3 linked regions of the Coturnix japonica genome follow. The protein of the gene in region 3 binds, or shares a complex with, the protein of the main gene of each other region. Links are inferred from orthologs where the notes say so. Each region holds a gene or a part of one and is shown on either strand. Other genes may lie near its edges.

Region 1 (3,647 bases), about 12 Mb from region 3:
CACCGTTAGAATATGTTCCTGCTAAATGGAGACTCATGGATAAATACTCAGGAACCCTATCAAGTTCCCCCTCAGGACCCCCAATACATTCTCCCAACATGCCCGTATATAAAAAAAGGTAAGAATTTATGTTTTCCATTGGAAAATATTTGAGCAGAAAGCAGTAGATATCTTGAATACATACAACTCGTGTTTGTGCTTAGCAAGGAGACAGGCATAGCTTTCAGAATCCTAAGATTAAAAATCTCATGACTCTTTTCCATATTATTTTTACGCTTGGCTGGAGATTTTAGAGGCTACTTATGCTAGTCTTTGATCCCCAAAGTAAAGTGTTCCCAAAGCATGTGGGATGACTAACAAAAGGAAACAAAGACATTCAACATACAGTGTCACGTGTCTAAAGGCCTCTTAAATGAAATAGACGAAAGAAGAATCTGTATAAATGAAAAAGATGGTTTAGATTTGCCTTCTTGCTCACCCAGAGATCTTTTTTCAACAGGCTGCTGGATGGTTTGGGGCAACGAGGCATAGATATAAACCCAGCAAGAATTGCTTTGTCTAATAGTTTGAAGCTGAAGCGACAGTTGGATTATGAAGAGCAGGCAATGCAACAGCTGACTGGGGTAATCATAAGAAAATGCATCCATTTCAGAATTGTGGATGTACCAAGATCATCAGTGTAATCAATTCATTTTGCTTTTCTCCAAACTGTAGGGAGACCCATCTGCCATTAACCCATCTCAGTTAATGTGGAAGAGAATGAAATTTCTCAAAGGGGAAAACTGTTCCTTGCTTACGGAGAAGAAGTCTCTCAGCACAAGTGTTCTTACTGGTAAGAGAAAAGAAATTGGTTCTGCAGTGTTAAGCTACTTTGAACTCCATCTCCCATATAGCTTACAGTTGAACAATTTATAGTATGTTTGATAGCTGCCAAGTAGATTGTTTCATATATGTCCATACCCTTACTTGGGAGGTAAATAGGGATCAGTTTAATAGAGGTAGGTTTACCTAGCGCTGATCCAATGTGTGGGCATTTAAAGCTAGAACAGATGCTTTCTTTCTACAGCACTGTTTTTCATTATTCAAAAATATCTTTAGTACAACACAACTTGCAGGTAGTACTGAATTTAGATATGCCTACATAGATTCATCGTCACACTGAGGAACAATTTGCTTCAAATTAGTATTAGCTTCTATAACAATTACAATGGCTTGATTTTTTTGTTTTCTCCTGTATGAATCAGATGAGTTTGTCTGCAACTCGAGAGGTCTGAGCCAACCAATGAATCAACTGCAGCTGCAGCAGCAACAGCAGCAACCCACCTGTGGCAGTCCTGGTGAAAATCTGAAAGCAGGAGCGTTTTCCCCTCAGTTTTACAGTCCCCATTATCAGGACTATACTGTGCAGTCAGCTCATAAAGTGTCAGGTAAGAGTTACCAAATACAGGGGCTGAAAAATGTTGGCATTTAGTTCCACTACAGATTCCATGAGAATAAAGCTTTTAACACAAAAGTAAGAGAATGTTAAACCAAGAGTCAAATGCGTGTTACACAAAATAAAAAATTAATTTGGCTATTAAAAGTTTCACATTAAACACATACATTTGTGATATATGTGAAAAAACAATTTTTTTCCCTTTGTTTCATTTCAACTAGTACCTCTGTTACCTTAGTAGTCTAGTCATCTTCCTGCATGTTCTTGTCTTGTGACAAAGGTGATTAAACTGTACTAAGCAACTTCAGTGCAGCAGTGGTAGCTCATGTTTGTGGATTACAGACCAACATCTGCCTTCTAAAAATTAATATCTGCAATGAAAGGAGATGTATGGAGATAGAGCAAGGCTGTCATTTTATGAGCTATGTTACTATAGCCTTCTTCATTTTCACTGGTGTCATTTTCCTCTGAACAATCTGAATTTAGAGTGGAAGTGGAAAACTTTGTGCTTGTAATCCCATAAAGCAGAGATGCTTTGTATTTGCTCTGAAAATGTTAACTGTTGGTAGTCTGAGGTGTGCTGGCATAAGTACAATACATAGTAGTAACTGGTATAAACAGAAGAGGAGGAAACATTCTCTTGCCCTCATTCTCTCCCTCCAATCTCAGCATCCTGATTTACTGTTTCAGGTGTGACGAGTCGTCTGCTGGGGTCTTCCTATGAACCATATTTGCTGCCTGAGTTGACAAGATATGACTGTGAGGTAAACGTCCCTGTTTTGGGCAGTTCCACGCTTCTGCAGGGCAGCGAACTGCTCAGAGCCCTGGACCAGACAACCTGAGCAATCCTGCAGTATTGGCCTATACTGTTCAAAACAGCTTCAGTTTTTAAATATATTTTTGCAAGTAGACGATTTCTAATACCAATACACTTTTACAGGATTTTACATAGATATTGAATCTGTCCACGTTACCAAATAGTGGCCTTTTGAAGTTACTCACTTCTATTATTCATATTAAAGAAATACATCTACTGTATTTTCTCTATTCCAATTAAAGTGTTGTTTAGAGAGTTTGATTACCTTCCCTTTATCTTGTTACCTGTAATTTATACTCAAATTTCCTTCGATTTTCATGCTAGTAAAAAGCTGTGGTATAAATGCCTTGTCGCATGATACTTTGGCTGCAGTACTGCAAAGATTTATTTTTATTGCCAAAGACAAATGAAACAAATTTGATCTCCAACCACAGTTTTTTGTTCATTTGCCAAATTGAAATCCTTTGAGCCTTTCTATTTTGCAGCATTTATTGCTTTCTAACTTCAATAACTTCTGGAAAAGCATACTAAAGAGAAATCCCAGCCTTCTGCCTTCCTCCCTTCCCCTTCAGTTTTATACACCTTGGTGAAAGAAATGTGAATGGTCAACGACAGTGTTTGTGGGTATCTGTGAAGGTTGCACACTGTAAGCTTTTTTCCTCAGAAGCAAGTCACGTCCTCTACTGACTTAACCTAGCTTAGTGCTAGGGACACGACTGTCCCACAGATTTATCCCAGTGGAGGATTCAGACCTGTGTTTTTGTTTGCGTTGGGGTTTCTTGCTTGTTCTACTTTTGGTTTTGTTTTTTTCTTTGTTGTTCCCTTCATTTTTTTTTTACACAAAACATCTTTTTTTTTTTTTTTTAACAGTTTCTCTTTGGGTCAGTTGTTCATCATCTCTTGGTACTTTTGCTACATCTAGAACACAAAAAGTTAAGAGCTGTTTCTGCTAGAACCAGTAGTATTTCTTGGAATGTTAAAATACTTCAGGAATGTGACCAATGGCCAGTAGTAACACCTCTGAATACTGCTACCTTTTTTCTGGTGTATGTCTGGCTAGCAATATAATTTCAATATTGAAACTAGGAGTAGTATTTTCTGGCATATTATGCTAACTCAATTGTAAGTGGAGAAAAAGAATTAAGAATGGTGTAGTGAGATGAATTACTGAAAGACAGGTTTTTCTCATTTTAACTTACCTTATGTTTTAATCAAGTGCTGAAATGTTATTAAACTCAGATGTTTTCAGGGCTCTTTTTCAACTATGATGTATTGTCATACACATTTTTAGAAATAAGGCTATGAATGCTTTCAAATGTTGAAGGTTGAAAATTGGAGTGTATTTAAGCAGCAAAAATATTAAAACTAATAAAAGTAGGTAGGCAGTTCTGACTT
Region 2 (3,647 bases), on a different chromosome or scaffold from region 3:
AAAACAACAACAAAACAACAAACGTACTTATGCTATCAGTCTTATTCGCTCAATGCTTTGCACTTTCATGCATGCTGTGCCATTGCTTTCAGTAGCTCCTAAGAATTCACAGCTCTGCTTCAAGTTTTATTGCCTTCTGTTGCCTTTCTCATGCAGTGGTGCTATGGCTGTGCTACAGTGTTGCTGATATGCATTTCAAGGTAGCAGAACACAAGCAGTTCTATATTAACTATTGTAATAAACACAAACTTACATGTTGAGAGCCCTTTTAAAGCTTACAAGTTTGTATTTCACCCTTTGCTAAACCTTCTTTTTGTGCCTGATGAGTGTTATAAATATTTTGACAGTTTCTGCATGGTCAGAAGGTGAATTTTCCACATAGTGGGGGGTCTTAGTGACATTATTATAAGCAGGTACTTTTGTCATCTGGTTTCTCTCTCCAGAGTGGATTTCTGAGTGTACAAACTAGGCGTTGCAGACACACAGAAGAAAAATTATATTAAATCCAGGCTTGTATCACACAGAGATTTGGGACTATGCAAAAACTTGCCATGACTTCCATGGCTGTATAGAAGCACTATTAATTATTGAAAAGAGCAAAAATAATTGAAGACAAAATACAACTTCAGGTTTTCTGGAAGATGAGAGAATTAGGCAAAGACAAAGTGTGCTATAGTGATATTAGGAAATAGTGATACAAATAGTTAAAGCAGAAAAAAGTGAGCTATTTTTCTTCATATGGAGGGCTGCAATGCATTCCCAGTAGTAGAATGGAACAAAAACCAGTACAGGAACAGTACCGGTGACTTGCTATGAATGCAGCTTCTGAGTTGTTTAACTCCTGTTACACAGCTGTCTTTTGACTTGCATGCATGTTTAATAACCTGAAAAGCTGTCCCTTAATGGCAGGATTCTTAAGTACTTTTTCTTCTTTCCCAACAGTCAGCATTACTAACATGGCAAAATTTTGCAGATTCAACCCCTTGTTACTAAGATGGTGTTTTTTCCTTTCATCCCATCTTTGTTTCAGTCGAGGCCTTTTCTTATTCTAATTATATGGAGTTTTCCAGAGCTTTCTGATCTCTACATCTTGGATGCTGCCATCAAAACAATATGCTAAGGAGCTGTTCTGCAATAGAACGGCTCTGGACTGCATTCCCCTTAAGCCTTAGGTCAGTTGGGTTTGGTGGCAGCATCTGGTGCACAAGCAGATTTTACAACTGAGATGTAGATAAAATCCACTGAGCGAGGTTCCTGACTCTCCTGTTTACACTATTAATGCCAGTGCAGAAAACCATGAGACTCCAATGGAAAAATGTGATAGTTATTTGTATGAGAGCAGTGGTAATCAAATGGGCATGTATAGGTACCTGTCCGTGCTAATCTTGAGCCTGGTAGCTGGTGATAACCAGGATTCAGTAATTACTTTGTGCAAGGGAGGTAAACTCTGGAAATCTGATCCCATTTTTTTTTTTTTTTTTAAAGTAATTTTTATGGCTACTCTATTGGAAATATATTTGATCTCAATTCTGAACGAATTCATCTGTAAACTGTAATAAAGCCAACATCAGTGACAGGGATCCCTATTTTGGCAAAGGGGTGCAGAAGTCTAAGCAAGATGCACCATTCAACAAAGATGATTTTGTTTTACTTTCTCCTAGGGATCCTTATTCCAGCAGACAGGTGACCGTGGAGGAAACGCATCGCTTGCTTGGAAACGTGTAAAGGCGTGTAAAACAAACGGTCACAATGGAGTGGAGCAAAAGACAATCATTCTACTATCAACTGGTTAGTATCTTTAACAAACAAAACGTATGTAGAGGGGGGCAGGGGCTGTGAAAGAAAACTGATGCAAACATACCCCAGCTCATCTCATTCCTGAAAAATCTGGGAGGAAAGTGAATAAAGTGCACTTTTTTCCTTCCCCTCCCTCTATAGACATAGCGAGTAAACTTCTAGGGCAGTCGATGGATGAAAGTGGACTACCCCAACTCACGAGTTACGATTGTGAAGTAAATGCTCCCATACAAGGCAACAGAAACCTGCTACAGGGTGAAGAACTGCTCAGAGCTCTGGATCAAGTTAACTGAGCTTTCACAGTAGTTGTTCCTTTTTTGGACACTGGTGAATCATCACCTAAAGCAGTCTATTTATATTTTCTATATCTGATTTTAGAAGCCTGGCTACAGTACTGCACTAATTCAGTTAGTTCAGTTTTGATCCCCTTTCTACTTATTTTGACAGTCTTTTTACTACATTCTTTATGTAACAATAACTCAAACCGTAGTGCGTTTTTATAATTCTTTGGTACGTACACTTTAAAGTCCATTACATTTAAAACACACTTGCAACAGCAGCTTAGAAATATGCACCTGATTTTAAAAACCTATATATATTTATTTTTTTGGCTGGGGAGTTGGTCACCAAAATCCATCATTAGTAAAATGTCAGCACGTGAAAAACTGGCAATACTTCTATCCTGCTCTTCATAGGTAGCTGGAAGACTTGTGCTCTCTTACTCTTTATGTTCAAGTAAGGTTTTGTTTCGTTGTTTTTTTTTTTTATTATTTTAATATTTTTTTTATAAGAAACAACAACGCTTTGCAGCAGTGCATTGTAGCCACAATCGCACAATATATTTTCTTAAAAAGAATACCAGCAGTTCCTCATGCAATATATCTGCATTTATAAAAACTAGTTTTTAAGAAGAATCTTTTGTTTGCCTACGAAATCACGTCTAAACCTGGATTATGTCATTATTTTAGTCACATTGTAATATAAATTGTTCTTAAATGCTGTCTTATGCTTTTGACTTACGAGTGTGATTAGTCGAAGGGAAAGGATTGATCTGGGAAGGGCTAGCAGCATTTTATTTGGGTACATTCTCAATTTAGAGAGAGAGTTTGATGTTCTTAACGTAGTCACTTCGCCAGCTTAAAAGAAATCCCTGCCTGTAGTTGTTGAAGTTAATGCTAATATTGTGTATGATCTTAAATCTAAATGTTCAGCTTACCCTGTGTGGTATAGGTGATATTTCAAGCAGATTGTAAACCATCTTGCATTGTTAGCAGTTTTATCTAGTACATCATTGAGTTGCTCAATATTTTAATGTTTTGGTTTTTAAGCACCTTGTTGCTATTAACATCCGTATATTTTCGTGTAGATTTCAATAACTTGAATATATTTAGAAGCCTTTTTATTTAGAAATATATAGTTGTCACAAACATCTTATTTTCCTATATGTACTGTACAAAACATTCATTCACTCGTTCTTTTGCTCTTTGTGGTTGGATCTAACACTAACTGTATTGTTTTCTTACATCAATAAACTATATGTGGACCAGGCCCCCTCGGGGAGTGTGTTATCTGAGAAAAATGAGATAATTTATATTTTTGTTAGTGGTTATTGTTCATCCGTGTTCCCTTTTTAACTTAGACTTGATTGGAAATCACAGCTTCCTTATTTTGCTCACAGCATCTCCGACTTCATTATTTGAGCCTATTCGGTACTAAATTCTCCCACACAGTGTTGTACTACCGCCGGCCAAAGATGTCAAACTTTCTAATCTGTTATCACACCAGTTAGCAAACTTGAAAGGGAGAAGACAGCACATCTGTGTTACTTCTGAGCAAAGACTTTTTCCTTA
Region 3 (4,113 bases):
AGTTACTAACCAAAGGACTCGTTATGCTTCTCTACCCCCAGGTCTGCACATGGCTCCTTTCTTGGGCCTCTTTGGCTTTAGGATGGATTTCTGTGCTGAGAAGATACACAAAGCAGCTGAGTGCCCTTGCCCAGCCCAGCCAACCAAAGCTTCTGCTCTGCTTGCCGGATGGGCCTCAGAGCAAATGAGCCCCACAGCCCAGGAAGGAGCTGCTGAGTGCTGCACCTTGACACTGTGTTGGGCCATACTGCACAGGATGTACAGGATACATCACATTCACTTGACATCTACTGCAAGCCAGCAAGGTTCAGGCTAAGCCGAGTGGATCGGAGCACACACGTCATCTCAGAGCTCCTGGTGTGGCTGCTGACAGCCGATGTGACCATGGTGGGGCTCTCATCCCTCCATGGCGTCACCTCCTCTCTGCCGTCCCCACAGCTCCCGCCGCTCGGCCAAACCAGCTTCCTTTTCCTGTGGGGCTTTGTCCCGCTCACGGTAGCGCCGGCCCCAGCACCTCGTGGTTTCACGGCCCCCATCATCTGCTCTCTCTTCCTTCTGCATTATTTAAACCGCCTCGCTCCGGCGGTCAGGGCCGGGTTAGATCGAACAGAAGCCACACGTTATTTACGAGGGGGACGGCGCTGCCTCCTGCTCCACCGGCTGACTTCGGGGCCTACAGTGACACAGCCCGACCCTCCGCTCGGCCACCGCGGCCGGACCCAAGGCTCGACTTTAACCACTCGTCACGCCGGTGCCGCCCGCTCCCAACGCCGGCAGCGGGGGCTCGGCCCGAGGTTCCCAGCCACGCCCCGTCAGCAGCTTCGCAGCACGTCGGACCCCGCCGGCCTCCCGCACGGCGCGGCTGGCCCGGCCCGGCCCCGCCCGCCGGCAGCTCGGCCCCGCCCGCCTGACGCGCCGCCGGCGCTGGCGGGCTGGAAGTGGCGTACGTGCAGAGCGGGCCGCGAGCGTGGCGCCTCCTCCTCGCCCCGACACGGCGCTGAGGCGCGGCGGGCAGGGCGGCGGCCGCGCCGGGCCGCGCACTCGGCAGAGCGGCCGCGCACCGCGCCAGCCGCCCGCTCGCCCCGTCTGCCTTCCGCCGCCTCCCGCGGGGCGGCGATGAAGCGGCGCTAGAGGCGCACGGAGGGCCCCCGCGGCGGCCCCGCGCCTGGCCGCGCCGAGGAGCGGGGAGGGAGGCCGCGGGCCGACGGACGCGCAGGGCGGCGGGGGCCGCGGCGAGCCGGGCGGCCATGATGCAGTGAGCGCCGCTCCCAGCGCGGCCGGGCGGGGGCCCGCGTAGCGCCGCTCCCGCCCGCCTCCTTACATAACGAGCGGCGGAGCGGGGCTGCGGCCGCACCAGCAGCGCCATGGCGAATGACAGCGGCGGCGGCGCCGGACAGGGCGGCGGCGGCAGTAGCAGCGGCGGAGGTGGCAGCGGCGGCGGCAGCAGCAGCAGCGAGCGGGACCGGCAGTACTGCGAGCTGTGCGGGAAGATGGAGAACCTGCTGCGGTGCGGGCGCTGCCGCAGCTCGTTCTACTGCAGCAAGGAGCACCAGCGGCAGGACTGGAAGAAGCACAAGCTCATCTGCCGCGGGGGAGGCGCGGCGGGCGCGGCAGGGGGCGCTGTAGAGCCTCGCGGCGCTCAGCCCCCGCCGCCCCGCGCTCACGGCTCCCGCAGCGCACGCGGCGCCTGCGGCCGCACGGAGCAGGAGGCGGCCAAGGGAGCCGCGCCGGGCCCCGAGCCCCACGGAGAGGCCGCCCCGCAGGACGACGAGCGCGTCGCGGCCGCCGGGGGCGGAGAGGCGGCGGCCACGGCCCCGGCTCCCGCCACGGAGGCGGTGTCGCTGTACCGGGACAAGTCGAACCTGTACCCGGGCGGCGTACAGGCGGGGCCCGGCGGGGCCGCCTTGCGTCCCAACGGGCAGACCAAGTCGCTGGTGCCGCAGCGGCTGGCGCTGGAGTACATCGTGCCCTGCATGAACAAGCACGGCATCTGCGTGGTAGACGACTTCCTGGGCAAAGAGCTGGGCGGGCTGGTGGCCCAAGAAGTGCGAGCCCTGCATCACACCGGCCGCTTCACCGACGGGCAGCTGGTCAGCCAGAAGAGCGACTCCTCCAAGGACATCCGCGGCGACAAGATCACCTGGGTGGAGGGCAAGGAGCCGGGCTGCCAGACCATCCGCCTGCTCATGAACAGCATGGACGATCTCATCCGCCACTGCAACGGCAAGCTGGGCAACTACCGCATCAACGGCAGGACGAAAGTGAGTGCGGGACGGGGTGGGGACGGGCCGCCGGCCGGGACCGGGACCGAGCGCACGTGGTCGCCGATGCGCTCCGGGGCGGCCGAGGGCGCAGAAGCGAGCCCCGTTGTGTCGGCCTGATTGGCGATTCTCTTCAGGTCCGCCGCATGAGATCGTACGCTCCGTGAAGGACCGCGATGAATATTCATTACCGTCTTTTCAGCCCCTTCACAATTTGCTGCCTCTGTTGAAGTATAAGGCTGGCAGTGAGATGCCGGGGGGCGCCCGGCGAGGCCGGCCCGGGCACAGAGTCGCTGTTGTTGGTGCAGCTGTGGGGCCTCAGCTGGTGGGAAGCGGGAGTGGGAGGGGGAGAGAGACAGCCCCGGGTCTGTTCGGATGCGCTGAGTTACCTCCTGCCGCAGAGCAACGTGGGGGGAACTTCTCGTTTCTTCTTTTTGTTCTGCGATGCAATCTGCGCGTACCGCCAGTTGAAGCAGTGCTCTGTGAACGCCATCACAAACGTGGTCTGGATTTCTCCTCCTGCTCTGTTGACTCGGATTTTTTCTAAGCCAAAAAGTTGTGTGCTAGTGGCACGGGCTGCCCGTGCGGGTGGTGGTGTCACAGTCACTGGAGGTATAACAGAAACGTGTGTGGGCACTAAGGGATGTGGTGGGTGGGCTGATGGTTACACAGGATGGTCTTAGTGCTCTTTTCCAGCCTTTACGATTCTGGAAAAGAGCACTTAGGTTGGATGTTAGGGGGAAGTACTTCACTAGGAGAGTGGTTAGGCCCTGGAACAGGCTGCCCAGGGAGGTTGTGGATGCCCCGTCCTTGGAGGTGTTCAAGACCAGGTTGGACGGGGCCCTGGGCAACCTGATCTAGTAAAGGTGTATGTTTGGTGGCCCTGCCAGGCAGGGGGGTTGGAACTACATGATCCTTGAGGTCCCTTCCAACCCGGGTCATTCTGTGATTCTTTAAGGTGCCTGTGCTTCAGACTCACCTGCTGCAAACATCTGGAGCCTTGAGTGCTTCCCAAGAGAAGCACTGTTTTTGTCTGCGAGCACAGTGATGTGCTGCTGGAAGTAACGTGTGCCAGGGCAATACAGCAGCAATACAGTTGTGAAGTTTGCTGAGCACCACTTGGTATTCACTTGCTACTGAAATAAATCCCTGTGTTTCCAGGGACCGAAGCAGGTGCAGGCAGCCCTTTGCTCCTCGCTGGTACAGAAATGTATTACTTTCTGTCTTCTCCTGTTCCCTTGCTTATCTCCCAAAACCAGTGCTTCTGGTGTTGCAGGAAAGCTTGGTTTCCTAAAGCTTCAGCACAAGCAGGAGGAAATCTGTCCATCACTGTTAAAAATTTACTAGTGAGTGAAGGTGTATCGCTGCAAGGGGCTGCACAAGTTGAGTGGAAGAATCAGACTTGGTTGGTTTGTCTGTGTTTGTTCATAATGTCTGCAGGGGTAGCAGACTCTCTCTTGCATCCTTGGAGGCCTGCACCTTTCCTTCACCCTTCTGCCAGAGTGAGTAGAGCCCAAGGGCAGGAGCTGCTTTGACATGTCCCATCAGAGCTACTGGGACAGAGCTACTGGCTCTGGGAGGATGGAAACACGGTGACACCTCTGGGTTATTGGGAAAGTCTTGTTTTTTGTTTCCTTCTCGTCTCTGCTTTCTCTGGATCAAGGTTTGGTCTCACTCCTGCAGGAGTTGCAGTTCATTTTGTTCTTAGCTGTAGAGATGAGTGTGCAGCAGAGATGATGCTACTACACAGCAGTTACCCCAAAGCTTTTCTGTTAGCTCACCATACTTGACTAGATGATCTTCTAGGTCTTTTCCAACCTTGATACAAAGTGCACGGCTTAGTTTGCTTAAC

The links.
Region 1: the proteins of EGLN1 (region 3) and EPAS1 are in contact, whole or in part, in a crystal structure (PDB 7Q5X), measured with the Homo sapiens proteins. The link is inferred for Coturnix japonica from reciprocal best matches to the Homo sapiens genes EGLN1 and EPAS1. Residues at the interface, in NP_071334.1 of Homo sapiens: Gln239, Leu240, Val241, Ser242, Lys244, Ile251, Arg252, Trp258, Asp277, Ile280, Arg281, Ile292, Asn293, Gly294, Arg295, Thr296, Lys297, Tyr310, Val311, Arg312, His313, Val314, Asp315, Pro317, Asn318, Asp320, Arg322, Arg370, Trp389, Tyr390; in NP_001421.2 of Homo sapiens: Asp525, Leu526, Glu527, Thr528, Leu529, Ala530, Pro531, Tyr532, Ile533, Pro534, Met535, Asp536, Gly537, Glu538, Asp539, Phe540, Gln541, Leu542.
Region 2: the proteins of EGLN1 (region 3) and HIF1A are in contact, whole or in part, in a crystal structure (PDB 3HQR), measured with the Homo sapiens proteins. The link is inferred for Coturnix japonica from reciprocal best matches to the Homo sapiens genes EGLN1 and HIF1A. Residues at the interface, in NP_071334.1 of Homo sapiens: Gln239, Leu240, Val241, Ser242, Gln243, Lys244, Ile251, Arg252, Trp258, Lys262, Asp277, Ile280, Arg281, Ile292, Asn293, Gly294, Arg295, Thr296, Lys297, Tyr310, Val311, Arg312, His313, Val314, Asp315, Pro317, Asn318, Asp320, Arg322, Arg370; in NP_001521.1 of Homo sapiens: Leu559, Glu560, Met561, Leu562, Ala563, Pro564, Tyr565, Ile566, Pro567, Met568, Asp570, Asp571, Phe572, Gln573, Leu574.

The regions. Positions count from the first base shown.
Region 1 is NC_029518.1:23,775,167-23,778,813, forward strand, and holds part of EPAS1 (endothelial PAS domain-containing protein 1), read left to right. Parts: coding exon 1-118; intron 119-499; coding exon 500-623; intron 624-714; coding exon 715-832; intron 833-1,244; coding exon 1,245-1,427; intron 1,428-1,668; exon of another isoform or gene 1,669-2,125; coding exon 2,126-2,277; 3' UTR 2,278-3,647.
Region 2 is NC_029520.1:49,067,559-49,071,205, reverse strand, and holds part of HIF1A (hypoxia-inducible factor 1-alpha), read left to right. Parts: intron 1-1,661; coding exon 1,662-1,788; intron 1,789-1,938; coding exon 1,939-2,090; 3' UTR 2,091-3,647.
Region 3 is NC_029518.1:35,717,642-35,721,754, forward strand, and holds the start of EGLN1 (egl nine homolog 1), read left to right. Parts: upstream 1-1,221; 5' UTR 1,222-1,364; coding exon 1,365-2,261; intron 2,262-4,113. UniProt on the Homo sapiens protein: Cellular oxygen sensor that catalyzes, under normoxic conditions, the post-translational formation of 4-hydroxyproline in hypoxia-inducible factor (HIF) alpha proteins.